Macaca fascicularis: one gene and its partners. The protein of the gene in region 5 purifies or fractionates together with the protein of the main gene of each other region. This does not show direct contact. Links are inferred from orthologs where the notes say so. Each region holds a gene or a part of one and is shown on either strand. Other genes may lie near its edges.

What was found.
Region 1: the proteins of PRR3 (region 5) and METTL17 purify together in Homo sapiens (co-immunoprecipitation; 3 studies listed by BioGRID and IntAct, with this or other methods). This does not show direct contact. The link is inferred for Macaca fascicularis from reciprocal best matches to the Homo sapiens genes PRR3 and METTL17.
Region 2: the proteins of PRR3 (region 5) and DAXX purify together in Homo sapiens (co-immunoprecipitation; 3 studies listed by BioGRID and IntAct, with this or other methods). This does not show direct contact. The link is inferred for Macaca fascicularis from reciprocal best matches to the Homo sapiens genes PRR3 and DAXX.
Region 3: the proteins of PRR3 (region 5) and DHX37 purify together in Homo sapiens (co-immunoprecipitation; 3 studies listed by BioGRID and IntAct, with this or other methods). This does not show direct contact. The link is inferred for Macaca fascicularis from reciprocal best matches to the Homo sapiens genes PRR3 and DHX37.
Region 4: the proteins of PRR3 (region 5) and YTHDC2 purify together in Homo sapiens (co-immunoprecipitation; 3 studies listed by BioGRID and IntAct, with this or other methods). This does not show direct contact. The link is inferred for Macaca fascicularis from reciprocal best matches to the Homo sapiens genes PRR3 and YTHDC2.
Region 6: the proteins of PRR3 (region 5) and RBMS1 purify together in Homo sapiens (co-immunoprecipitation; 3 studies listed by BioGRID and IntAct, with this or other methods). This does not show direct contact. The link is inferred for Macaca fascicularis from reciprocal best matches to the Homo sapiens genes PRR3 and RBMS1.
Region 7: the proteins of PRR3 (region 5) and RPUSD3 purify together in Homo sapiens (co-immunoprecipitation; 3 studies listed by BioGRID and IntAct, with this or other methods). This does not show direct contact. The link is inferred for Macaca fascicularis from reciprocal best matches to the Homo sapiens genes PRR3 and RPUSD3.

Annotation. Positions count from the first base shown.
Region 1 is NC_088381.1:88,659,367-88,661,571, forward strand, and holds part of METTL17 (ribosome assembly protein METTL17, mitochondrial), read left to right. Parts: intron 1-122; coding exon 123-196; intron 197-839; coding exon 840-934; intron 935-1,419; coding exon 1,420-1,490; intron 1,491-1,670; coding exon 1,671-1,778; intron 1,779-2,036; coding exon 2,037-2,105; intron 2,106-2,205. UniProt on the Homo sapiens protein: Mitochondrial ribosome (mitoribosome) assembly factor. Binds at the interface of the head and body domains of the mitochondrial small ribosomal subunit (mt-SSU), occluding the mRNA channel and preventing compaction of the head domain towards the body.
Region 2 is NC_088378.1:138,379,511-138,383,706, forward strand, and holds the start of DAXX (death domain-associated protein 6), read left to right. Parts: upstream 1-1,396; 5' UTR 1,397-1,441; coding exon 1,442-1,494; intron 1,495-2,362; exon of another isoform or gene 2,363-2,415; coding exon of another isoform or gene 2,416-2,432; coding exon 2,433-2,622; intron 2,623-2,772; coding exon 2,773-3,604; intron 3,605-3,748; coding exon 3,749-3,957; intron 3,958-4,112; coding exon 4,113-4,196. UniProt on the Homo sapiens protein: Transcription corepressor known to repress transcriptional potential of several sumoylated transcription factors. Down-regulates basal and activated transcription.
Region 3 is NC_088385.1:132,122,749-132,126,248, forward strand, and holds part of DHX37 (probable ATP-dependent RNA helicase DHX37), read right to left. Parts: intron 2,748-3,500; coding exon 2,652-2,747; intron 2,422-2,651; coding exon 2,336-2,421; intron 1,359-2,335; coding exon 1,214-1,358; intron 554-1,213; coding exon 477-553; intron 177-476; coding exon 1-176. UniProt on the Homo sapiens protein: ATP-binding RNA helicase that plays a role in maturation of the small ribosomal subunit in ribosome biogenesis. Required for the release of the U3 snoRNP from pre-ribosomal particles.
Region 4 is NC_088380.1:120,064,737-120,068,806, forward strand, and holds the start of YTHDC2 (3'-5' RNA helicase YTHDC2), read left to right. Parts: upstream 1-1,270; 5' UTR 1,271-1,465; coding exon 1,466-1,652; intron 1,653-2,820; coding exon 2,821-2,911; intron 2,912-4,070. UniProt on the Homo sapiens protein: 3'-5' RNA helicase that plays a key role in the male and female germline by promoting transition from mitotic to meiotic divisions in stem cells.
Region 5 is NC_088378.1:142,096,965-142,101,115, reverse strand, and holds the start of PRR3 (proline-rich protein 3), read left to right. Parts: upstream 1-1,351; coding exon 1,352-1,457; intron 1,458-1,718; exon of another isoform or gene 1,719-1,874; intron 1,875-2,182; coding exon 2,183-2,245; intron 2,246-4,151. Other genes in the region: GNL1 (guanine nucleotide-binding protein-like 1), read right to left, coding at 119-191.
Region 6 is NC_088386.1:55,711,549-55,715,048, reverse strand, and holds part of RBMS1 (RNA-binding motif, single-stranded-interacting protein 1), read left to right. Parts: intron 1-555; coding exon 556-606; intron 607-3,277; coding exon 3,278-3,388; intron 3,389-3,500.
Region 7 is NC_088376.1:148,112,921-148,117,061, reverse strand, and holds the start of RPUSD3 (mitochondrial mRNA pseudouridine synthase RPUSD3), read left to right. Parts: upstream 1-1,341; 5' UTR 1,342-1,351; coding exon 1,352-1,452; exon of another isoform or gene 1,453-1,530; coding exon of another isoform or gene 1,531-1,615; intron 1,616-1,738; coding exon 1,739-1,875; intron 1,876-3,071; coding exon 3,072-3,116; coding exon of another isoform or gene 3,117-3,127; intron 3,128-3,231; coding exon 3,232-3,331; intron 3,332-4,141. UniProt on the Homo sapiens protein: Catalyzes uridine to pseudouridine isomerization (pseudouridylation) of specific mitochondrial mRNAs (mt-mRNAs), a post-transcriptional modification necessary for their translation.

The DNA of each region.
Region 1 (2,205 bases), on a different chromosome or scaffold from region 5:
ATATTGAATCTCAAAAAGCATTCACATCTCACATCCTCTGTGATAGGCTCCTAATTCATATTTATCAAGGTCCTAAATAAGTATCTAATTACTCTGCTGTGGGATGTTGTATATTTCTTCAGATCCGGGCTCGAAATCCAGCATTTCAGCCACAAACTTTGATGGACTTTGGCTCGGGTACTGGTTCTGTCACCTGGTGAGTAACTTTTTTCAGCCCTGTCTTGGTCAATTTTAGCTCTAGAAAGCCATACTTACACCACTCAAAAATTAAGAGACTGGAAAACCAGAGGGAGAATAGGCAAGTTGGGAATCTATAATGTTTCTTCCATCAGATTGGGCAAGGCAGAAGAAGGTATATGGATTGGGGCCAGAACTTAAAGAAATGTCAAGTGAAAAAAAGGCGCATGTTTAGAAAAATTAAAAAGAAAAGGAATTATCAATCAAAGTTTTTTTGCCTACAAATAGTATTTTGAGTCTACCTTTATTTTTCTCTTTTTGGAGATGGTGTCTCGCTCTGTCACCCAGGCTGGAGTGCAGTGACACGATCTCGGCTCACTGCAGCCTCCACTCCCGGGTTCAAGTGATTCTCCTGCCTCCGCCTCCCAAAGTGCTGGGATTACAAGCATGAGCCCCTGCACCCAGCTGAGTCTACCTTTTTTTAAAAACAATTGTAAATAAAACAAGAAAATAACACTATTAGTTATTTTATTACTAACTAGACAACTATTTTAACATAACACTCTCTTTTCCCAGGGGTGGGGTTGGGTGTAAATGGGTCTCTTGTAGAGATGACTCTTGGTCATGGGAATTGGTGATTTATAATAATTTTGCCATCTTAGGGCTGCTAACAGTATTTGGGGCCAGAGCCTACGTGAATATATGTGTGTGGACAAATCAACTGCCATGCTGGCTTTGGCAGAAAAACTACTGAAAGGTGAGTACAAGAGCATTTCCAAAGTTGAGGGAGTTCAGAAAGCAAAGGGGTACTAGTAAAAGTGTTTTACTGGGAAGTAGAGAAGAGGGTAAAAATTAAGATGAATCTGGTTTACTTTTAAAGTTATGGTCAAGCAAAGGGCGGTATTAGAGGTTTCTGCTGGACTGAGGATGGGTTGGGTAAGATTCAAAGGACAAGAGGCCTAATATTCTCCCTGCCGTTTTTTTTTTTTGTTTTGTTTTTTGTTTGTTTTTAATTAGAACCTGTTACCCAGGCTGGTCTCAAACTCCTGGCCTCAAGCCATCCTCCCACTTCATCCTCTGGGGTAGCTGGGATTACAGGCATGCACCACCATATCTGGCTCATCCCTGCCCTTTTTGATAGACACTTTCCCTATTCTTGGGGCCATGTTTCTTATCTGGATATCTCTTCAGTTTATACCTAACTTCCTACACACTCAAAGTTGCCTCTTCTTTTCTCCACAGGTGGTTCAGAATCTGGGGAGCCTTATATTCCAGGTGTCTTTTTCAGACAGTTTCTACCTGTATCACCCAAGGCAAGTGGCAGTGTTTAGAATATTCTAAATGTGGAATGTGGCAGATGGAAAACTATGGCTTGAGCTTTGCAGCCCAGCACTGAGTGTCAGAAGATAAAAGAAATTTATCAGCTAGGACTTTATTATATTCTTGGGATGCAGAGATGTTGAGTGTGTCATGTTCTTTGTCTTGGTCCTCAGGTGCAGTTTGATGTAGTAGTATCAGCCTTTTCCTTAAGTGAACTGCCCAGCAGGGCTGACCGCACTGAGGTGGTTCAAACCTTATGGCGTAAGACAGGTCATTTCCTGGTGAGTTAAAATTCCTTGTTCTCCTTAAGTCTTAAAGCAGCTTCATGGATTTCATGCCTTTGCTTCTCTCGTTGTCTTCATTCTTCACCATTTTTCTCCTTTATGGGTTTCTTTATCCCTCTTTGAGGGTCTCCATCCTGATATATAATGCGTATTTCTTTTTAGGACCCCTTTTCCATCTATAATGCTTTTACAGAGCTACTGACATTTACACTTTCATGTAATTTAAGTCTTCATATTTTTCCCTTTTGTGAATAGGTACTGGTGGAGAATGGAACAAAAGCTGGGCACAGACTTCTCATGGAAGCCAGGGATCTGGTCCTTAAGGTAAGGCTTCTTCCCTCACTCCCCCACGCATATGTCACTAATTACTGTTATTCTTTTGAAAACTAAAGAGACTGTCATATATTGACAAGGGTGACTCTCA
Region 2 (4,196 bases), about 3.7 Mb from region 5:
AAAAGGAGAAGTGAAGAATGAGAACCTGTACTGCAGGTGTTTCCTTAGGAAGACCAATTTTGGGAAAGTTGAGGTTCTGGAAATTAAATCCCTTACATCTCCCAAGTTCCAGTCCTCGCGGAGGTTTTTTATGTTCCCCATTTTGAAAGCTGTAGACTTTGACGACTGGAGAGAAGTGATGTGGGATTGTTCAATGGACGGGTGTTTGCGATTCTATGACTCAGCGTTAGGGATGTAGTAAATTCTGTGAACCTAGTTAAGCGGCAAGATGCCCACCACTTGTGGAAATGGGAATCTTTGCGATTGGGACCTTGTTAATCTTTCTGGTTTCCTCATAAGCTCACCTCTGGACCCAGCCTTGCCTCCACGACTCCCTCCAACCTCCCTAAACTCAACGAGGTGGGTATCAAGTCTGTTTCTTCATCCTTCATTCTTTTTTAACCTCTCCCAGAAGAGGAGGAGGAAACCCAAAGTATTTTATGAGCCTCATTTCGTTTCACAGCAGCCCTTGCAGAGGCTCAAACTCTCCTCCAAGCCCCACCCCATCATCGCCCATCCGCAGACCCTGGGCCTCCACGACAAAGCACGGCCTCACAGTCAGCACCGACGGCCCTTCGAGGACCCCCTCTGGAGGAGAACCATTCAGGTCCCAACCGTCTGGTCATTAGTTCTGTGGTGAAGCTTGAAAAGCAAATCAGCAACAATAGTAATAATAATAACACTTTTGTATGGCGCATTGTGCTTATTTGTACGCATGTGTTATAACGACTGTGGGACGCAGCACCTGGCAGTAGAAGCAGCTGCTGGACAGCGGCAAGGAGCGCGCCGCCCTTGCAGGGGAAGGGGCTGGGTCAGCCGAATAAGCCGTGGAAATGGGAACCTGGGGGACAGGAAAGCAGGGCCAGATAGCTTGCCAATAGCCTAGTTGAAGATAAAGGTTTTACTTCCCTTTTAAGAGACTTCTGCCATTCCCTGAAACCCTACGCAGCTTTGGAAAGCCCAATTCCTAAACCACCCTGTTCGGTTCCCCTGCCCCTCCTTGGAAAGGAGGCTCCGTTCTCCCCACGCGCTACTCGCCGGCGGTTGGACCCCAGGGAGGAAGTTTCTGATTGGCGGAGTCAGAGAAGCACCGGGTGAAAAGAGCTCCTCCGGCTGCGCACCGAAGTTCTGGCGTAGCCAGCGCCGTACGGCAAAATGGCGGCCCCCAGCTGCTTTGGGACGCCCGGGTTCGGGGAGACAAACTCCGACCTGGAAGACCGCGCTGACTATGTGGGCGGCACTGGAGGTGTTCGCGGGGCGGGCCTACGGCCGCTTCCGGCCACAGGAAGCCTTGTTCCGTACGACAATATGGCGGCGCTTAGTTGCATGCAGGCGGAAACTCTGTTGCTTCCGGTCCGTAGTGGGGCCTGCGGTGGGAGTGGGAAGGAAGGCGGAGGGAACCATGCGAGGTTCTGAGATCTGCGGCGAGGGTCGCCTCGAGAGACGGTTTCTGAGGTGGGGGCCGGATGGTGCGGGGATCAGAGGCGGGGGCGGGGATATCGAGGCAGAGGTATTGGGGAGAGCCGGGCTCTGAGTCTGAGGGGAAAACTGTGGTACCTTCCTATCCCTGAAAGGGAGTGGGGCGGCCGGGGGCTGAACTGGGGGAGGGGGATTTGGCGGGAAGCGCATCTACCGGACCGGCCGGACCCAGGGTTGGGATCTAAGAGGAATCGGGAGAGCGTAGCGCGGTGCGGGGGGACTTCTAATTAGTTACAGGTCTCCGAGAGAATGGGGAAAATTAGGGTGGGGTGAAAGGGAGGGGACTTGGGTAAAATATCTTCAACCTAAAGGCCCAGTTTGAGGAGACTCATCTGAGGGTGAAATACGGAGATAATTCAAGGAGGGGAAAAGAGAACGGACTGTTGGGAGGGAACCTCTTTCACCTCAGAGAGTCTAGGAGTTGGGGTGATCAGGATGGGGCGGGTGTGGGGTTGACTTGTTTGAGGGCAGAGGGGGCAAACACATGAGGTGGCGCCCACAGGAGTGTGTTGTCTGTGCCAGGGGGTGTCAGGACGATTTAGGGTGCAGTGTGGGAGAAAGAACCAACTTGCCAACTCTGAGAAAGAGTGGGGAAATGCAACAGAAAGACCGGAAATCGACGTGAGGGGTGGAGCAGAAGGTGGCAACTTAAGGTGTGGGGGGGTTTGCCCCCCCCACACACCACTTGAAGGGCCCGAAAAGCATATAGAACTAATGGTTATTGAAATCAGGTGGTGAAGACAGTGTTGGTCAGGGCTGAAACCCAAGGAGTTCAGAAAATGCGTGAGGTGAAGGGATGGGGCTATGCTGGAGGGGCTCATTCTGAGGCCCCATCCCCTTCCAGCAGGAATTCTGAAATCCCCACCACTTCCTCCTTCCGGGGGATTTGATTCCCCCATGGCCACCGCTAACAGCATCATTGTGCTGGATGATGATGACGAAGATGAAGCAGCTGCTCAGCCAGGGCCCTCCCACCCACTCCCCAGTACAGCCTCACCAGGGGCAGAAGCCCCTAGCTCTTCTGAGCCTCATGGGGCCAGAGGAAGCAGTAGTTCGGGCGGCAAGAAGTGCTACAAGCTGGAGAATGAGAAGCTGTTCCAAGAGGTGAGCTTTAGCGGGGAAGATCGTTGTACCCCAGGGAGGGGGATGGCTGACTGGCTCTCCTGTCCTTTCTTCCCCACTAACCCCACTCCCCTTTCTCTCAACCCCCTCCCTTGTCTCTCTTCCCCTTCCTTCTTCCCCTGAACCTTCTAGTTCCTTGAACTTTGTAAGACGCAGACAGCGGACCACCCTGAGGTGGTCCCATTCCTCTCTAACCGGCAGCAACGTGCCCACTCTCTGTTTTTGGCCTCGGCGGAGTTCTGCAACATCCTCTCTCGGGTCCTATCTCGGGCCCAGAGCCGGCCATCTAAGCTCTATGTCTACATCAATGAGCTCTGCACTGTTCTCAAGGCCCACTCAGCCAAAAAGAAGCTGAACTTGGCCCCTGCTGCCACCACGTCCAATGAGCCCTCTGGGAATAACCCTCCCACACACCTCTCCTTGGACCCCACAAACGCTGAAAACACTGCCTCTCAGGCCCCAAGGACCCGTGGTTCCCGGCGGCAGATCCAGCGCTTGGAGCAGCTGCTGGCGCTCTATGTGGCAGAGATCCGGCGGCTGCAGGAAAAGGAGTTGGATCTCTCAGAATTGGATGACCCAGACTCCACATACCTGCAGGAGGCACGGTTGAAGCGTAAGCTGATCCGCCTCTTTGGGCGACTATGTGAGCTGAAAGACTGCTCTTCACTGACCGGCCGTGTCATAGAGCAGCGCATCACCTACCGTGGCACCCGCTACCCAGAGGTTAACAGGCGCATTGAGCGGCTCATCAACAAGCCAGGGCCTGATACCTTCCCTGACTATGGGGATGTGCTTCGGGCAGTAGAGAAGGCAGCTGCCCGACACAGCCTTGGCCTCCCCCGACAGCAGCTCCAGCTCATGGCTCAGGATGCCTTCCGAGATGTGGGCATCAGGTTACAGGAACGACGTCACCTCGATCTCATCTACAACTTTGGCTGCCACCTCACAGATGACTATAGGCCAGGTAGGGGGTTAGTGGGATGCCTCTCAGTGACCCTTATATGTCAGGTATGAGGCGGATGGGGCATCTCTCTAGTCCTTTCTAGGGTTTGTACTCTTCTAGTCCCTTCCACGGCTGAGTGCTCTGACTTTATATTTTCCCACGTAGGCATTGACCCTGCACTATCAGATCCTGTGTTGGCCCGGCGCCTTCGGGAAAACCGGAGTTTGGCCATGAGTCGGCTGGATGAGGTCATCTCCAAATATGCAATGTTGCAAGACAAAAGTGAGGAGGGCGAGAGAAAAAAGAGAAGAGCTCGGCTCCAAGGCACCTCTTCCCACTCTGAAGACACCCCCGCCTCCTTGGATTCTGGTGAGGTGTGGATGGGGTAAAGCCTTCAGAGAGACATTGTCCTTCCCCTGCACTGGCCACCAGGGAGTCCAGGTTGACTGATGGGGGAGCATGAGAAGGAATGCAAGAACCAAACCCTCTAGGGCAAGGGATTCCTTAGAGAAACTTCTTTGTCCCCCAGGGCCCTAGTGGAATGGCATCCCAGGGGTGCCCTTCTGCCTCCAAAGCTGAGACAGATGACGAAGAAGATGAAGAGAGTGATGAG
Region 3 (3,500 bases), on a different chromosome or scaffold from region 5:
GCCTGGGAGACCCAGGTGACGCGGAAGGAGGACACGCCGGTGACGCGGTCGTAGTAACGCTTCTTGACCTTCCCACAGTCCACCACGTACTTGATGCCAGGGATTGTAAGAGACGTCTCGGCAACGTTGGTGGCCACAACACACAACCGAGTCCCCTCCGGTGGAGGCTTAAAGACCTAGGATTCAGGGAGGGGATGGCAGGAAAACACCAGAATCAGGAACGAAATCGTAGAATGGAGGTCCAAGGACAGAGCCACCCAGGCTGGTGTGCTGGAGAGGTAGCAAGGACAAGCCACCCCATCTGGGACCCAGTGCCTTGCAGGACTGTTCCCTGTTCTCCAAAACTACCTCAATATTCCTCAAAACTCTGGGGATGCTGGTCAAACAGCAGATGGAGAGGACCAAGGGCTTGACTAACCTCACTGCAATGTCCTTAAAAGTGCCCCAAAAGCTGGGCACCGGCCCAGCACGGTTACCTGTGCTTGCTTCTCTGGGGCCAGCAGAGAGTACAGCGGGAGCACGTGGAGTGGGAGGGAGGCGTCCGGCTGCTCACCTGGAGGGAAAGCAGACGTTACTGGCAACCGGGCCGGGACAGATGCCCACAGGCAGGAGCCAGCCACAGCTGCCCTGCACCCGTAGGCTGCTCCACCAGAACTCCTTTCTTTGCCCTGCTGAGGAGGCTTCCCTTGGAACCAGCCAGGCCAAACCTGGGGGGACTGCTGAGAGGTTCCCAGGGGCTCTCTGGTCTCTACTGCCCTGAGTCGGATCTGAACCCCTGCTGTGCTGCATAATCTCCTCCTCTAAATCCCTGGCATGGATCCTGGGGGCCTGACTCTGCTCCTCGTGTCCTGGCAGCACTGTGGTAGGCTCAGGCTGAGCCAGTACTGGGGTACCCTCTGCTGCCCCACTCAGCCCCTGGCTGACAGCAGGGCACTGGGTCCATCTACATTCAGGGGTTCCTGCGAGCACACGGAGCGGGGCAACACCCCTGGGCCCTGGAGACCCGCACCTGTCAGCAAAGGGGTTGGCAGCCCCATTACATCCAGCACGGCAAATGTTCCAGGCCTCCTCGTGCCCGGCACTTTCAAAGAACTCAGGAAGCATCGAGGACAAAGCTGCTAGAACCCCGGCCCCCAGGGGGCCACAAGGGCTCTGGGCACAGCCTCAGGGCAGAGCTAATGCACGTGAGCAGGAAGCGGGGCTAGGAACACACCTCCATCTTGCCCGCCATCCCCCAAGTCCAGATCGAGGTCGGAGTCCAGGGCCCCCTCTTCCTCGTCCACTTCCGCCTCCCTGTCCTCATCGCCTTCGCCTGCCGGCAACACTGAGTAATGATCCAAGTTGATCTGGGGCAGCACCTACGGCGAACACATAGACACCCGGGTTGCAGGGACCCTGGGTGTGAGGATGAGGCATGTGCAGGAAGACAGGTGCCCTCATGTGGAAGCCCCAGTCCACACCCACGGGCCGTGTGACCCGGGGCAGGCCACATAACTATCTCTTCCTGTCTGAGTGTCCCCACCTAAACAATGGGGACTATCACAGACCTTGTCTCTCAGGCTGGTGGGAGGGTTGTGTGAACACATGTGAAGAACTTGGATCACTGCCTGACACATCAGTAGTGCAACAGGCAAGTTGGAGACGGCTGAGCGTTTACGCTACTGTCACGGACCGCAAGACCCACGGTGCCTTCATGCAGAGGCTAGAGGAAAGCACCTCCCAGCCCAGCCAACCCAGAGTAGCTGGGAGTACAGGCGCATATCACCATGCCTGGCTAATTTTGTATTTTTAGTAGAGACGGGGTTTCGCCATGTTGGTCAAGCTAGACTTGAACTCCTGACCTCAGGTGATCCACCTGCCTCAGTCTCCCAAAGTGCTGGGATTACAGGCATAGCCACCACGCCTGGCCTTCTTTTCCTTTTCAGAGACAGAGTCTCACTCTGTTGCCCAGGCTGGAGTGCAGTGGGGCCATCACGGCTCACTGCAGCCTTGACCTCCTGGGCTCAGATGGTTCTCCCACTTCAGCCTCTGAGCAGCTGGGCCCACAGGCATGTGCCACCACACTGGATTAATTTTAAAAATTTTTTGTAGAGACAGGGTCTCACCATGTTGCCCAGGCTGGTCTCAAACTCTAGGCCTTAAACGATCCTCCCACCTTGGCCTCCCAAAGTGCTGGAATTACAGGCATGAGCCACTGCGCCCGACCAGGAACTGGATTTTTAATTTCATTTTATTCCAATTACACTTAAACCTAAGCAGCCACATGGTGCTGGTGGCTGCTATCCTGGACAACGTAGCCTTACTCTCCAGGAGTCCCTGCCAGCCCCCCACGTACCTCGGTCCGCGCCTTCTTGGCCCTGGCCCTCGACTTCTTAAACTTCCGCATTTCCTGCGCTGAGTCTTTCTGATCATCGTCCTTTTCTGGAAAAGGGGCAGGTTGGAGAGAAAGGCGTGTGTGGCACGCATGGTCGCTAGCACACTGCTCTTTGTTGTTCAAGGCACGGCCATTTATTCGGGGGTGAGGTGGGGGACGGCAAAGGTGCTGACGCTCCCAGAGGGAAGCTCAGAGGCGGGAGCTGCACCCCAGCCAGGGAGCGTGAGGCCAGGCCCAGCTGCTCAGGGCAGAGCGCGGGTCGGGGAGTCCTCTTTACCTTGTGGCCGGGCTCTGGAGGGTGGGAAAGCCTTCCTGAGCCTGCGGCACAGCGCGTGCACCTCAGCCTGCCCCGTCAGGAACACCAGGATGCCGCCTGCGGAAAGAACGGGCCTCTCTGTTATCCATCAGTCACTCACAAACATTTGCTTAGCAATGGGCACCTGCCAGGCCCTGCTCTGAGAGGCGGGGCTCCAGGGATAATGCGGGAGGACAGGGGTACACAGACATAGACGAGCAGGAGGCAGCACCCCCAGACTGAAGGAGCTGTTGCCAGGGAGTTCAACAAACACAGCGACCACACAGCCCAGCAACGCCACTCCCAGGCACAGACCCAAAAGCCCTGAGAAATGTGCTCAAGTGAAAACCTGCACACCACACTTGTGACAGCGCCGTGGCTGCCCTGAGACCCGAGGCTGCAGGAAGGCTCACTGCCCAAGCTTCCGCCTCGCCTCCCGCCAGCCCCAGTCTCCCAGAGAACGGATGGGAGCCCCGAGAGGCTGTAAGCAGACCAAGGACAGAGCATCATGAAGCAGCGACCTCAGCTTCCTTGAAGGAGGAGTTCAAGCTTGGTGGGAAGCACCCCCACGGCTCCCTGCCTCCCTAACATGAAGAAAGTCAGCCTTGGGCCCGAATTCGGCACACAAGAGTCTCTGATTAGGCTGGGCGCGGTGGCTCACACCTGTAATTCCAGCACTTTGGGAGGCTGAGGCAGGCAGATCACCTGAGGTCAGGAGTTCGAGACCAGCCTGGCCAACATGATGAAACCCCATCTCTACTAAAATACAAAAAATTAGCCGGGCGTGGCAGTGTGCACCTGTAATCTCAACTCCTTGGGAGGCTGAGGCAG
Region 4 (4,070 bases), on a different chromosome or scaffold from region 5:
CTTATCTCATATTTGCTGATGTTCCAATGGCCAAAGCAAGTTACATTGCCAAGGACAGAGTCCATATGGGAAGGAAGAATACAAGGGTGTGAACACGGGAATGTGTGATTCATCAAAGCCATACCTTTGATGAATTCAACAATTTACCATATTGTTACAAAAAAAAAAAACTCCCTAAATCTCAGCAGTTTACCACAACTAAGGATTATTTCTTACCCATGTCATATTCCAATGTGGGTTGGTGAGGACACTCTATCACACTCATTCAGGGGATCGGGAACCTGCTATCTATCTAGTGGTTCTACCGTTGTCTAAGAACTTCCAGAAGACCAGGAAAGGCAGAGAAGGGAGACTTCAAGGAAGGTGTTACAGACCAGTCCTGGAAGTGGTGTACATCAGTTCCAGCAACATTCCAATGGCCATGTGAACTCAGCCATGTGGCCCCCAGCTAACTGCAGGGGAGTTGGGAAATATCACTCCTAGGAAGAAAAGGAGAAACATTTTTTGATGAGTATCAGTATTCTATGCCACAGTTCATACTTCTTGTCACCAAATATTCCACCCCCTTTTTACCACACACAGAATACACGTATATCCTCCCCAGACACCTGGAATTCTATCTAGTCACTGCATCCAGGATCTGTTGTTGATACACAGTCCTCTTTATTAGATTCAGATGTGTATCCTTATTGCCAGGTAACTCATGAACTATGTAAATATGTACTACGTACCTGTCCCCACTCAGCTACCCTGTGTAGCGTGATAGAGCAAGGGTGGCATACTTGCATTAAAATCTCCCATTCAGAAAAGGGAAGAATGCAAGACACCTAACAGTCGCTCATTTTTTAGTATATGTATTTTTTATGATATTTTTCCAAATGTTGCACGGGAAATATATATACTAAAAAGTATTCGTTTATCTGAAATGCAAATTAATTAGGCATTCTGTATTTTTATTTGCTAAATCTGGCAACCCTCCTCCTACTATAATATAAATTCCATGAAGGTAGGAACCTTCTCCAATGTATATCGAAGGCGTGGCATAGTGCCAGGTCCACAGTGGGAGCCCATATATGCTTACTGCAGGAATTAATGAAGGACTAAACGAGATAGCAAGGGAGTGAATAAGAAGACGAGGAGCGACCCTTGGCGGGCGGCGGGGGAAGAGGACCGCACCACAGCTCGGCAGAGCCTCCCTTAGGCGCGCAGCGGCGGCCGCGCTGAGGTCACGGGCGCCGGCCCTGGTGACGTCATTACGCCCGCGCTCCCCGCCTTGCCGTGATATCAACGGCGCAGGTTTCACTTCTGCTGTTGTGGTGACTGAGGGCTTTCTGGTGACTTCAGCCCAACGCAGGCCGTCTGCGGAGCCGCCGGGTAGTGGCCCCGGAGTCCCACGGTCTCTGTCATTGGCTGTCACCCAGCAGGCCTGGCCGCTCCCGTGCGGGGAGACCATCTCTTCAGGGCAATGTCCAGGCCGAGCAGCGTCTCCCCGCGGCAGCCGGCTCCTGGCGGTGGCGGAGGCGGTGGCCCCTCGCCGTGTGGCCCTGGGGGCGGCGGGCGGGCCAAGGGGCTGAAGGACATTCGCATTGATGAGGAGGTGAAGATCGCAGTCAATATCGCGCTGGAGCGCTTCCGATACGGGGACCAGAGAGGTGAGGTTCCCGACAGGGACCCTGCTGGCCGTCAGGACACCCCCTTACCCCAGCGCCCCCCAAACCTGGGCCCACCGAGTGATGGGGTTGCCTCCGAAGAGGGAGGGAGGACCCGGGCCACCGTCCGGGTCGGGCCTCAGCGGCGGCACCCGGGTCTGGAACGCGGCTGTTAGCCCTGCGGTAAAATGCGAGGTGCTCTGCGCATTAGTGGGGTTATGGGCACTTTGCTCGCTAGCTGCAAGTGTTTTTTTCCCCCGCGTCTTTCAACAGCCTTGGGCGGTTAAGCCACCGTGTTTCAGATATTGGTTAGCCCTAACCCTTAAAAAAATTTTTTTAAGGGATTGTCACCTTAATTATGGCACGTTTAAGCTACAGATGTAGAAAAGCAGAAAGAAATCAAACATATAAGTAAGTGCACCGGTAATACGTTTGAACCCTGAAGCAATCACGCTACCCACTTAAACCTGTTTGGCACACGAAGCCTCTTCCACACCTCCTGAGGTTAGAAAGCCGCTTGTCTTGGATCATATAGTGCAGAACCAGCAACTGACCTGTGGTGACCTGTACAGTATGTTGAGGGCTCATTCGGACCTGCTGGCTTAATTAGGGGACCTCTTACTCTGGACTCTTTATAGTCAAAAATGGGGAATGTTCTGGACAGAGAGATTGTGAATTCACATTAAAAAAAGAGAAAGCCTCAGCAGTATATAACAAATCCCTCTGAAATAGTGAAATATGAATTCTATACAGTTTCGAAAGCAAAGACAATGGAGTTTCATGTTGAGAATTCATAATGTTTGAGCATATCTCATCATTTATTTTGTTAACAAGTAGGGACCAAGTTAAATATGTTCAGTCATTATACCAACTCAAAATTCCAGCACAAGTAAGAGGAGTCGTTTATTGGTGAACATCAGAGGCCTTTATCACATTTAGGTTTAATACATAGATGTCTTTTTATCAATATCAGAATTCTGGTAGACGTTCAGTAGTTATTAATAAAATATATTAATTTTATTAACTTAGAATATGAAATATAAAGTAAGTTAACCTCACATAAAGTATAAATTTGATTGTCTATGTTTTTCATATTTTATGTCTGTGTGTATTACTTGAGAGAAAATTGCCTACCTACAAATTGTACTGCTTTTATTTTTTTCTCATGTAGAGATGGAATTTCCTTCTTCTTTGACCAGTACTGAAAGAGCCTTTATTCATCGACTCAGTCAGTCTCTTGGTTTGGTCTCTAAAAGTAAAGGGTAAGCTGGTAGCATTTCTTATTGTTTTTAAAAAAAGATTATTTGCTCAAAAAAGGGAGAATGTTTCTGAGTACGTTTAAGTAGTTATTACTGTTTTAACTTCACATTCTTAATTGTATCCTGTGTAGATAAAATGATTCAGGTCTGTACCAAATTCACCTCTTTCCTCTTCCTTCTATCTATCTCTCCCTGCCTTTTTTGTTTTGTTTTCTTTTTCCCTAGGAAAATGCTTTTTCCTCTACCCAGCTTAGGTTCCTTGGCTGGGACCCTGCAAATTAGACTGATAAAAAACATATTAACAAGAGAAAAACATAAGCTTATTAAGATATGCATCATGCATACATAGGGGAAAACTCGATAGTAACTCAAACATGGGGCTTATGTGGCATCTTAATAAAGAACAATGAATTTATTTAAAAAATGACAAGACAAAGGAAAAGGACTTTGAACTTGTAGGTGCAGTAAATTGTGGGAAGGTATATATGGGGAAACTAATGGAAGGTATGTGTTGTTTTAGCAAGGTTGGTTATGTAGGTTCCTCTGGTGCTGTCTCTGGGTTAAGAGTCTAGAGTGGTTTCTCTTATTAAGAATAGTCCTGCCCTTTCTGGTAAAGCAGGGGAGGGCAGAGTTCTTTTAGGTCTGCTTCTTCTCAATTGCCTTCAGCTCAAAATAATGGGAGAGTGACATATATTTGGGTGGCATACTCTGAACTCTTTCAAAGGTAAATTTTAAGATGTAAGAAAAAAATAGTTTAAAAGTTGAAGTTGATTTCTTGAGAAAAATATTTTTATTTTTTGATAGAAATGAAATCTCATTTGAAATATTGATGTACAAAAGATAATAAGTACAATTATTTATGAAACTTATGTCTTTTACTGTTACTGCACTGTAATAGTAAGCTTTAGAACATATGTTCATTGTTTTCTTTCCTACCAAGTCAAGAATCGGATGATTAGAAATAATTTTAAAAAGTGGTACAGGAGGAAATTGTTTTGTTTTGTTGGGAGGATCACAGAGCTACAGTGGGGAAAAGTCATTTGAGCCATCCAAACTGAAAAACTCTAAATTCTGTGGACCTATTTCATTTTGTCAGTAAGGATGGTGGGATCAATATAAAGGAAGCTTTCTCACTGTTGGTGCTGTTGACATTTTGGACTGG
Region 5 (4,151 bases):
AGGGTTGGCGCGGTCCCACGACCCCCTCCCACGACCCCCAGAGGTGCAGCGGGCACACCCCTCCTTCCAGCTGTGCGGAAGCCCGAGCCCCGCCTCCTCCTCCAGCTCCCGCACTGACCTCTCTTCCGCTCCCGTTTGTCCTGCAACTGCTTCTTCTTTTGCTTCACGCTGAAGGGCTTCTTCCTCGGCATGGCCCGGACCAGTCACCTGGCCCGCCCTCCGCCGAGCTCCTGCCGCCTCAACTGACTGCCCCCCGGGGCAGTCCCCGCCGCAGGGGCCCGGGACCCTAGAGGAGGCGGAGCTAGCAGGTGACGTCAGCGGGCGGGCCCGACCGAATTGCCGCCGCGGCGGCGATGGAAGGCGGACAGGGGAGATACACAGTCACTTCCCTCCAGGAGCGAGGCGAAAGGATGATGCGGGGTGGGCTACTGGCACGTGAGAGCCAGTGGCACGGAGAGAGCACCCCGGCGGCGAGGAAGGAGGCGCGCGTGGGAGGACCAGGCTAACTCCGTCACGGACGCTACCAACTCGCGTTCGGAGGAGGGGGGAGCGCGTGTCATCACTACCTTGCGCTCCCGGGAGAAGCTACCACTCACCTGGAGGGGGCGGCGGAGCGGAGGGCGGGGCCTATTACCTAGGGGAGAGGAGGAGTGGACTCGCTGAGGCTACACTCCCAACCCCCAGGCTTGACCTTAGTGGAAAGCCGAGACGGTGCGTCCCGGGAATGAAGCCAGGTTGCTGGGCTACACCGGGGGCACGGTCAGAGGTCTTTAGGGGAGGGCGGCGGTCTGAAGAGTCCTGGCTGCCGACCTGCTGGGACCCAAATTCCTTGTGGGAACGATGATAAGGAGCAGGTTTACAGATCAGAAGTGCAAAAGCGGGCGAGAAGCGAAACCCAGGCGGGACAAGGGCTTTTGGAGGGAGGTCAAAGGGCACAAAGTTGTGCCTGCAGCTGTTACCATAGTAACCGAGGACCGGATGTGGCGATCTTACGGTGCGACAGTCCTCTTCTCAGGCCTTCTGGCCCGAGAGCCTGTTGACTCTGTGACACACTCTGAGGAGCTGGTTGTGGTGTTTTCCAGCGAGGGAAGAAGAGCGGAATTTTTTCAAAGCATTTATAGAAACGCAGCAAAGGGAAGGTGTGAGGTTGCCGCCATGCCTGGCAGAGACGGAGAGAGGCAGTTTACTCCAGAATGCGGCCGCCACAGATGTTCTCCGCAACCTTCCGGAAGTGGAATGGTGGGAGCTTGGGCATTGCTGCCCACCGACCCCCCGGAAGCGGAAACAGAATCCCCGCGTGCCCCTTCCTCACTACCCTCCAAATCCCGCTGCAGCCATTGCCGCAGCCACGATGCCGAAACGAAAGAAGCAGAATCAGCACCAGCCACCGACACAGCAGCAACCCCCACTGCCCGAGCGGGAAGAGACTGGAGATGAGGAGGATGGGAGTCCCATCGGTGAGGGGTCAGGGAGGGATGTGCACATGCCTGTCAAGCCCGTCCGGGCGAAGGGCTAGGGGCTAATAAGGTGCGAAGGAAGGGGCTCTAACGGAAGGAGGAAGGGCGCACGCGCTGGGTAGGGATGGCAGCAGGGCTGTCCCAAATGGAGCCTTGAACCAGGAGTTCTCTTACTGGAACCGTCAACCTCAATACGGCCCCAAACCTTTCTGGAACGCGGGGGTGGAGAGAGTAAAGAGCTCTTTTGCGCAGCCGCAGAACAGTAGGGGAAAGGGGCAGTAGAGATGTTGCAGATTGCGATGACTGGGTTGACAGTTTGTATCCGGATTTTGACTGAAAAGGTACAGGTGCCGCTTTCTCTAAACTAGTCCTCTGGCCGAGTGAAAGGAGAAGAGAACTGACTGGCCAGCAGTTAAGGTGAGGGATTGGTTTATGTCTGGAGACACTTAGGTTGTTTTGGATAGCGACGGTACGGTGAGGAAAAGAAAAAGTTGTATCTTTTCCTGCATTATCGCCTTTGATTGAATATCTACTTTTTGCAAACCCTGAAACAGCTTTGCAGAAAAAAGAGCAGATAGATGGGGTGAGAACTCCTAAGACTGCTGAAAATATACCTGACTTTACTGGTTGAATTAAGAAATGAGTAATACAAGAAAAACGCCTAAGAACAGAATCATCAGTCCTTTAATCCATTCTGATGACCATATTTTCATGTCTGCTCTTAGGACCACCCAGCCTTCTGGGCCCTCCCCCCATGGCCAATGGAAAACCTGGCGACCCTAAGTCAGGTGAGGAGGAAGGGGCCCTGATCCTTGTATTAGGTCGCGGATAAGACGGCAAGGGAGGGGATAAAACCCAGGAAGGACTTAAAAATCAAAAGGTCAGGGATTCCATCCCTAAATGAATGGAGAGAAGTTGTATATTTGCTGGCTGAAAAACTCAATGTTGTAAAAATGTCACTTCTTCCCAAATTGATGTATAGACTTCATGCATTCCAAGTCAGAACACCCATAATGTTTTTGTGGAAATACACAGTATTATAGGGAAATGCAAAATATCAAGGTGAGAGACTGTCAAAACAATCTTGAAGTGGGAGTGCGTACTATGAATATCAAGATTTGTAAGCTGGGCATGGTGGCATATGCCTGTGGTCCCAGCTACTCAGGAGGCTGAGGTAGGAGGATCCTTTGAGCCCAGGAGTTTTTGAGGCCACTTGGGCAACATAGTGAGATCCTGTCTATAAAAACAAGAAGGAAAAAAGACTTACTATAAAGCTACAGTAGTTACAACGATGCAGTTTGGACACAATGATACACATAAGTCAACAGGACTTATGTCCCGAAGAGTCCAATAACAGGCCCATACATGTGTGGACACTTCATTTATGATGAAGATGGAACTGGAAAGTTGGTCTTTTCAATAAATGATATTGGATCAATTGGATATTCATGTTAAAAAATGGAATTTCACCTTGTAGTCATAATCATATTGTATAATGGACTGTAGATCTAAGTATAAAAGGTAAGAGAATAATTATTCTAGAAAGTAAATGTATTTTCTAAGAGTAGCTAAGAGTTCTTAAACAGACAAGAAATGTAGGTATACACACTAACCATAAAGGAAAGATTGATAAATTGAACTCCATTAGAAAATATAAATTTGCGGCCAGGTGCAGTGGCTCACACCTGTAATCCCAGCACTTTGGGAGGCCGAGGCGGGCGAATCACGAGGTCAGGAGTTCAAGACTAGACTGACCAACATAGTGAAACCCCTATCTCTACTAAAAAATACAAAAATTAGCCGGATGTGGTGGTGTGCGCCTGTAATCCCAGCTACTCAGGAGGCTGAGGCAGGAGAATTGCTTGAACCTGGAGGCGGACGTTGCAGTTAGCCGAGATCGCACCACTGCACTCTAGCCTGGGTGACAGAGTGAGACTGTCTCAAAAAAAAAAAAAGAAAGAAAGAAAAGAAAATATAAACTTGCCAAATAACGCCATTAAGAAATTAACAGGAAGCTATACAATAGAAGATATTTGCAACAAATATAACCAATAAAGATCCTTTATCTATAATATATAAAGGATTCTTCCAGACAAGCCATTTGAAAAATCGATCAAAAAAAAAAAAAAAAAAGGACACCTTATTAAAATGGAGCTCTAAATGAACTAAAAGTCTAAATCAACAAGTACTCAATATCATTAATCGTCAAGTAAATGCAAGATAAAAATATACCACTTTGAAATTAGAACTCTTGTGTACTGCTGCTGGGATTATAAAATGGTGAAACTACTATATAAAACAATATGAAGAGATTCCTCTTAAGCAATTAAAAATATGTATGTATGACAAAAAAAATTAAAAATAGAACTACCCCAGAACTCCTGCTTCCAGGTATATAGCAAAAAAAAAAAAAAATGGAAAGCAGGGTCTTGACATATTTGCAGACTCATGTTCATAGCAGCAGTATTCACAATAACAAAGAGGTGGAAGCAGCCCACATGTTCACTGATGGAAGAATAAACAAAATGTGGCGTGTACATACAATGGATTATTATTCAGCCTTAAAAGGAAGAAAATGCTGTCACATACTACAACATGGATGAACTTTGAGGACTTTATGTTCAGTAAAGACATAGTGTATGATTCTGCTTATCTGAGGTGTCTAAAGTCAAATTCAGGGGCCAGGCGTGGTGC
Region 6 (3,500 bases), on a different chromosome or scaffold from region 5:
TTCAGATTTTTATTTTCTGCACTAACTAGAAATTGTTGACCACAATACAAGATTTCTAAAACTAATGTCCTAGGTATCAAAGAGAAATTGAATTTCGTTATTTGTATTAAATAAGCACATACTTTAAGGGTTAACTTCTAATAAGATGTGCTGGAATTAATTGTCATTCATGTGTAATTCTAAAGCACCTAGTTCATACCTTGATTGTTAACACTTTTCACTCTTTATTTGAGTTGTGTTTATCTCCCTTGCATAGATAGTAAATTTCTTGGGGGTGGGGCCCATGTCTTTTTCGCCTTTTTCTCTTTGTTGCCTGATACTCAACAATTACTTCTTGAGTGGGCAAATAGAAATTGTTTCTGAATAATCATTTCATCCTATTCAGAGTGACCAGTTTGCCAAGAATTCTAACTGCCTTAATCTTTTTAATCATTGATAGTATTGTTTCCTTGTTTTCTTTCTGTAGATTTTTAACATGATTAAAAAGAGTTCTAAAGAAATAGGTAAGCTTTACAATGAAAATCAATATTTCTTTCAAAATCCTCCCTTTTCTAGGTGCAAAGTCCTTCTTGGATGCAACCTCAACCATATATTCTACAGCACCCTGTAAGTTTTTCATCTTAATGACTTTGTATTTTACAAGTAAGTTATGTGTATATTCTCTCTGGGTTAAAACCATTTGCCAAGGGTGGTATAGGATTTGGGAAATTTTAAACATGGAATACGAGAGTGTACAAATTCATTATAAAACTTCTCATCCTTGTCGTAAAACAACTTGGTAGAAGATTATTAAGTTAAATTTTCTATAAGAACTTAAAATGTATCATATTTGAGGCAGGGCACCATTTTCTTATTCATACCAGCTCTTTAGAGATCATTCAGTTGAGAGGCTACATTTTTAATAGTACTTGGGATAAAACTGCTCTCATTTTTTACATTCTGTTTAATGCAGATATAAAGTTCAAAACCAAGATAAGATTTTCATCAGTGTTACTTATCCTTTCTATGGAGATTATAAACACTAAAGTGGTAGCACATTATTTGGTAAATAACAAATGTGATTTCTTAATCACGTGAGCATTCATATATATCACTTTTTTTATTGAGTGAGTTATACTTTACCTTATTATATAGTGTATTTCATGTGTTTTTCAAAGACACATAAGATCTAGTTTGTGGAATATCTAGTTTGTGGAAGAAGGGTTTGAAAATTGAAAAATACATATGGAGAACAAAGTTACAATAAGGCTAAGGATGTCCAACACAGTTACCTGCATGCTCACATGAGAAAATCACAAATTTGGCTCTAAGCTTTCTAGTAACTGATGCAAAATGGGAATCCTGGTAAGCAATATGGTTCACAATATGTGTAAAATAAAAACAGATTTGGTTGCTTAGAAAAAGAACTCTATTCTTGGCCTTATGTTCAGACAGCAATTTGTCTTGGGATACCTTTTAAAGTGGATACTGCAACGTAAGACCATGTGTATGAAATAGCAATCCAGGGATAACAGGTTCTGAATGAGAAATTGCTGAGATGACTTTTAAGAAGCAGATAAAGCATGTTTAGGTGATGACATAGGAGAGGCGCTTTCTGATATATGTATATGTTTTGTGTGATATATGCACATACATATAGATCTATACATGTGCACATACATAGACACATCTTCAAACCCACACTTACCTGTACATGTGTACATAATATACATGCACTGATCCACACATGCCCGTAGCAATCTATATCCCTGATACTCCATGCTACCCTATTTTGGAATGCTTGGAAATCAATCTACTTTGAGTTTGAGGACTTCCTATTACAGATGGTGCCAATGAATGAGAAAAAAGAGCAGGAAGCTCCTCCACCGTCTTCTAGGCTTCTGAGTCATTTCCGTGTTACCACATGCTTTTTGATGATGCATGTTAAAAAAAAAAAAAAATCTAACAGAATGTATTAAGGACAAACATTATCTCTGACCCACATCTATATCTTTTTTTCTTTTTGGCAACATTTGAGAAAAAGACTGCACGTATCTGAGCTTAACATCTTTGAGGAGACATTAGGAATGTACGCAGAAGGTTGCTATCTGAGGATTCATTACCCTTCCCCACCCAGCTTTACACTGCCTGATTTAAATCAGAATTAAAGTGCCTGTACACCTAAATCTGTCCTAGATTGTCTATCTAATTATCAATAAATAACAGTTGTATTTAAGGGATGCCAGGTACAGTGATACCAAAACATATGTTAGTAGTTACAGAGCATGTCAGAATACTTGCATTCTCAGATAATGAGGTGATTGCAAAAAGTCCAAAAATAAAGAGTTCATTAAATTTTGGTTTATACAATCAGTGTAACCATTTAAAAAATGATAATAATGATAATTTTTCAATAAGCTAGGTGAATGGTTAGAATAGAATGCTAAGTTAAGAGCAAAAACCTAGGATATGAAATTGTTGATGCGCTCTGATTGAACCTGTACAGAAACACACAGAGGCTAGAATCTGGCAGTAGTACCCTGACATTGCTAACAGTGGTTGTATTAGACTGGCTGAGTTAGAAGCGATTTTTTTCCCTCCTATTTTCTTGAATATATTTAATGTGATTTTAATGACCAACATTTTTTCAAATGAAATAAAAGATTCTGGACTCAGATTATTATTCATATCCTAATTGTCTTCCCTCCCAGGCACCAAAGTGTAACTTAAAGTTCTGAGAAACACTGAGTGAATGAAGAAATGTACTCTCAATCCTAACAACCTGATGTTGAACCAAACGATTATCTGGATAGAACATTATTAAACAAAATACTGTACTGATCTTATTAAATATAATACATTGTTTTGTGACTGGAGAAAACATCAACTGCCTTTTTTTCCAGTTTTTTTTTTTAAGAAAGCATTTTGTAACCCTAGACAGGCAGTGATAATCAGTTTGTTTTTCCTATGATAGCTCCTCCTGCTGGACTAGCTTGCTTCCAGTTACAGGAAGTGAAGGGAAAGGGAGGGAAAGGAGGGACCAGTGGCTTTAACACAGGGATTGTTGTGAAGTGAATGCCAAGATATCATTTCCCCTAATGCTCTTACAAAACTCTCAGGAAGAGCAATTTAGAAGATTTTTAGGAAACTGTTTATGATGCCATTTGCAAGATTGAGGGAGCTTGTTTTTGCTTCACATTCTTAAACAAACTAAGGTATTTCCTTTGCAAAAGGTAATTACAGGATCTTGACTCTTGCCTCAGTTTGTCTAATTTTGCTCTTGTCTCCAACTTCCCAGGGTGCCGTGTTAACTCCCTCAATGGAGCACACCATGTCACTACAGCCCGCATCGATGATCAGCCCTCTGGCCCAGCAGATGAGTCATCTGTCACTAGGCAGCACTGGAACAGTAGGTGGCAAATTAGTATCATGTGTCTCTGTAAACAGAGGAGGGTAAATTAATGCAGCCTGTATCTTCCCTATCAAATGACAGGCTCTATGATAACAGATTATGTCTAATC
Region 7 (4,141 bases), on a different chromosome or scaffold from region 5:
ACAGCCCAGCGCCACACCCTGGGCCTGGTAGTTAAAGATTCACCCCTGACGTAATCCGTTATGTTATCTATAGATTACAGATATTGTATAGAAAAGTACTGTGAAAATTCCTATCCTGTTTTGTTCCGATCTAATTACCGGTGCATGCAGCCCCCCAGTCACGTACCCCCTGCTTACTCAATTGATCATGACCCTCTCACATGCACCCCTTTAGAGTTATGACCCCTGAAAAGGGACAGGAATTGCCCACTCAGAGAACTCGGCTCTTGAGACAGGAGTCTTGCTAATGCCCCCGGCCGAATAAACCCCTTCCTTCTTTAACTCGGTGTGTGAGGAGTTTTGTCTATGGCTTGTCCTGCTACAGTACTCCATCTCATCTTTTTACTTTGCATTTCCAGTTTGCCTTGCACAAGGTCTCTTCTTCCTCTGTGGCTCCTCCACTTACATGTGTCTACCTGCTAATTGGACAGGAATATGCACACTAGTTTTCCTTACTCCCAAAATTCAATTTGCAAATGGGACCGAAGAGCTTCCTATTCTCCTCATGACACCGACACGACAAAGAAGAGTTATTCCACTAATTCCCTTGCTTGTCAATTTGGGACTTTCTGCCTCCACTATTGCTCTTGGTACTGGAATAGCAGGCATTTCAACCTCTGTCACGACCTTCTGTAGTGTTTCTAATGACTTCTTTGCTAGCATGACAGACGTATCATAAACTTTATCAGTCCTTTAGGCCCAAATTGACTCCTTAGCTGCAGTTGTCCTCCAAAACCACCAAGGCCTTGAGTTACTCACTGCTGAAAAAGGAGGACTCTGTATATTTTATTTTATTTATTTATTGAGATGGAGTCTTGCACTGTCCCCCAGGCAGGACTGCAGTGGCCGGATCTCAGCTCACTGCAAGCTCCGCCTCCTGGGTTCACGCCATTCTCCTGCAGCAGCCTCCCAAGTAGCTGAGACTACAGGTGCCCACCACCATGACCGGCTAATTTTTTGTATTTTTAGTAGAGATGGGGTTTCACCGTGTTAGCCAGGATGGTCTTGATCTCCTGACTTTGTGATCTGCCTTCCTCGGCTTCCCAAAGTGCTGGGATTACAGGCATGAGCCACCGCGCCCGACCAAGACACATTTTCTTAACAGATCAAATTCGTCTGCCTGAGCTCTCCCTAAAAGCACAGGCCCGCAATGCTGTATTTCCTTCCTGGGAGGAGGAAAAGCCCGCCTCCTCCGGCTCTGAGTCCCGCCTCGTCACCATTCCGATTGACACTCAAGCTGACCAATCAGCGCGCTGGCGGGAGCGTGGCGCTGCTCCTCTGAAAGCACATGCGCACTGTACTGACTCGGGAGATGGACGGCCGCCGTGTTTTGGGTCCGATCTGGAGTGGCTGGCGGTGGGGCCTGGCTGTAAGCACAGCGCCCGAGGACGCAGGCTTTGGCATCGAAGCCCGGTGATTAAGTACCCCCTCCCTCATGCGGGACGGAGGCTAGGGCAGCGGGAAGGCACGTGCGGGATCTGCATCAGGTAGATGTTACCCGAAAACAGCCCCTTGGCCTCTCTCAGCCTCGGTGCCCTCGACTGTAGGATGGGACCGGTCTACCTGAATTTTCGAGGTCAGCCTAGACATTGTGAGGCATTTGTCAGAGGCCGCAGGTTTTGGGAAGAGGCGTCGGGAGATAGGAATGGGCGGCACCTCGGGACGGAATGACTCCCATTGCTTCTCCCTCGTTGTCCAGGCATCACAGGCAACCCCGCGGCTCCCGCCTACGGTCGGGGCCCCTCGGAGACCAGCCCTTCCCGGGGCTGCTGCCAAAAAACCTCAGTCGGGAGGAGTTGGTTGATGCGCTGCGGGCAGCCGTGGTGGACCGGAAAGGTGAGGGGTGAGAGGCACGGCCGCACAGGGATCGGGAGGGGACTGCCGCGGAGTGAAGCCACGGGATCAGCCCTGCTTCTGCCTCCCACTAGCAGCATGAGCTGGGACGAGCCACCTAATTTGCACCCTCTCCCCGCTTTTAACCTTACTGCCATGATGCAGTAGGGTTAAGAGTGGGGAGAGGATGCAAATAACTATCAAGCCTTGCACATAGCCGGCGCTCAGTTACAGGAGTTGCTATACTAGATTATTGTTTATTGGCCGCGGTGGCTCACGCCTGTAATCCCAGCACTTTAGGAGGCTGACGCGGGCGGATCACCTGAGGTCAGGAGTTCGAGACTAGCCTGGCCAACATGGTGAAACCCCGTCTCTACTAAAAATACAAAAATTAGCCAGGTGTGGTGGCGTCCGCCTGTAATCCCAGCTACTGGGGAGGCTGAGGCAGGAGAGTCACTTGAACCCGGATAGCAGAGGTTGCAGTGAGCCGAGGTCGTGCTACTGTGTTCCAGCCTGGGGCAACAGAGCAAGACTCAGTCTAAAAAAACGACAACAAATTATTGTTTATTGATAGACAAAACACAGGCTTTGAGTCAGACATCTAGGCTCTGTGATCAGCTTGCTGTGTGGCTTTAGGAAAATAACTGAATTTCTCTGAACCCCACTCTCCATTCAGTGATTTATTTCTTTTCTCAACTATTTCTTAAACATATGCTGTGTTCCAGGCACTGTTCTAGGCAGGTATACAGTGCTGAAAAAGATAGATATGGTTTCCGCTCTCAAGGGAGAAATGGATTTCTCTCTAATGGGAGAAATGGGTGTCAGAAAATAAATGAACAAGTTACTAGTGATAAGTGCTATGCATAAACTGAAACAGGATGTTCTAATGGTGAGGAACTGTAGGAAGAGGGCAGACGTTGGATTGGAGATTCAGACCTCTCTGTGATGTGACATTTGAGCCAAGGTGATAGGGAGCCAGACCTGGGAAATTTGGGGACAGAGGAAACAGTAAGTGCCAAGGCTCTGAGGTGGCAGAGGAACAGAAAGCAGTTCAGTTTGGTGTGCGGTAGATAAGTCACGTCTGAGAGTCATGATGGGGCCATGTGCTAAGATGTGTGAGAAAGTGCTCTGGAAATTCTTAAGTGCTGCATAAAGGGTTACTGTTGCTTTTGCTGATGTTCATGTGATGTATGTTTCAGGACCTCTAGTGATGTTGAACAAGCCACAGGGTCTACCAGTGACAGGTACAGGCCGGGTATGTGGGAAGGGAATGCAGCAGAAGGGGGTTTTGTGTCTGGGGAGGGAAAAGTGAAGGCGTGAAGCTTTGGCCTCTTGTAATTTTTCTTTCTTACTTTCCAGGAAAATCAGGAGAGCTGACGTTGTTGTCAGTGCTGCCAGAGCTGAGCCAGTCCCTGGGGCTCGGGGAGCAGGAGCTTCAGGTTGTCCGAGCATCTGGGAAGTAAGTGGTAGGGGTGATAGGAAGCTAGGAGTACAGGCATCCATCTATGGTGGGGAAACAGCTGCTTTGGGATATGCTGACACATTTTCCATAGGAAGGTTTGAGATCGTAGAGGTGGATACAGGTACAGTGAAGAGGAGGAAGCTGATGACTCTGGGTTCAAATCCTCAAGTACAAATGGTGTGATACCAGGCAAAGCATGACACCTCCCTGACGCTGGGCACAGTGACTCACGCCTGTAATCCCAGCACTTTAGGAGGCCAAGGCAGGAGGATCACTTGACCCCAGGAGTTCGAGACCAGCCTGGGCAAAATAGACCCCATCTCTGGAAAAACAACAACAACAAAACCTTCCCTGAGGCCGGGCATGGTAGCTCATGCCTGTAATCGCTAGGACTTTGGGAGGCCGAGGTGGGAGGATTGCTTGAGTCCAGGAGTTCAAAACCAGCCTGGGCAACATGGCAAAACCCTATCTTTACTTAAAAAAACAAAACAAAAGAAACACACACACACACACACACACACACACACACACACACACACAAGCTGGGCATAGTAGCACATGCCTGTAGTCCCAGCTGCTCGGGTGGCTGAGATGGGAGAATCACTTGAGCTCAGGAGATGGCAGCTGCAATAAGCTGAGATCCTGCCACTGTACTCCAGCCTAAACAACCTGAGTGAGACCCTGTCTCAAAAAAACAAAACAAAACAAAACCCTCCCTGAGCCTCAGTTCCCCTAATGGTAAAATAGAGAAAATAATACCTATGCTTAGTGTGCAGTCATTTCTCCATGACTGTACTCGTGGCAGGC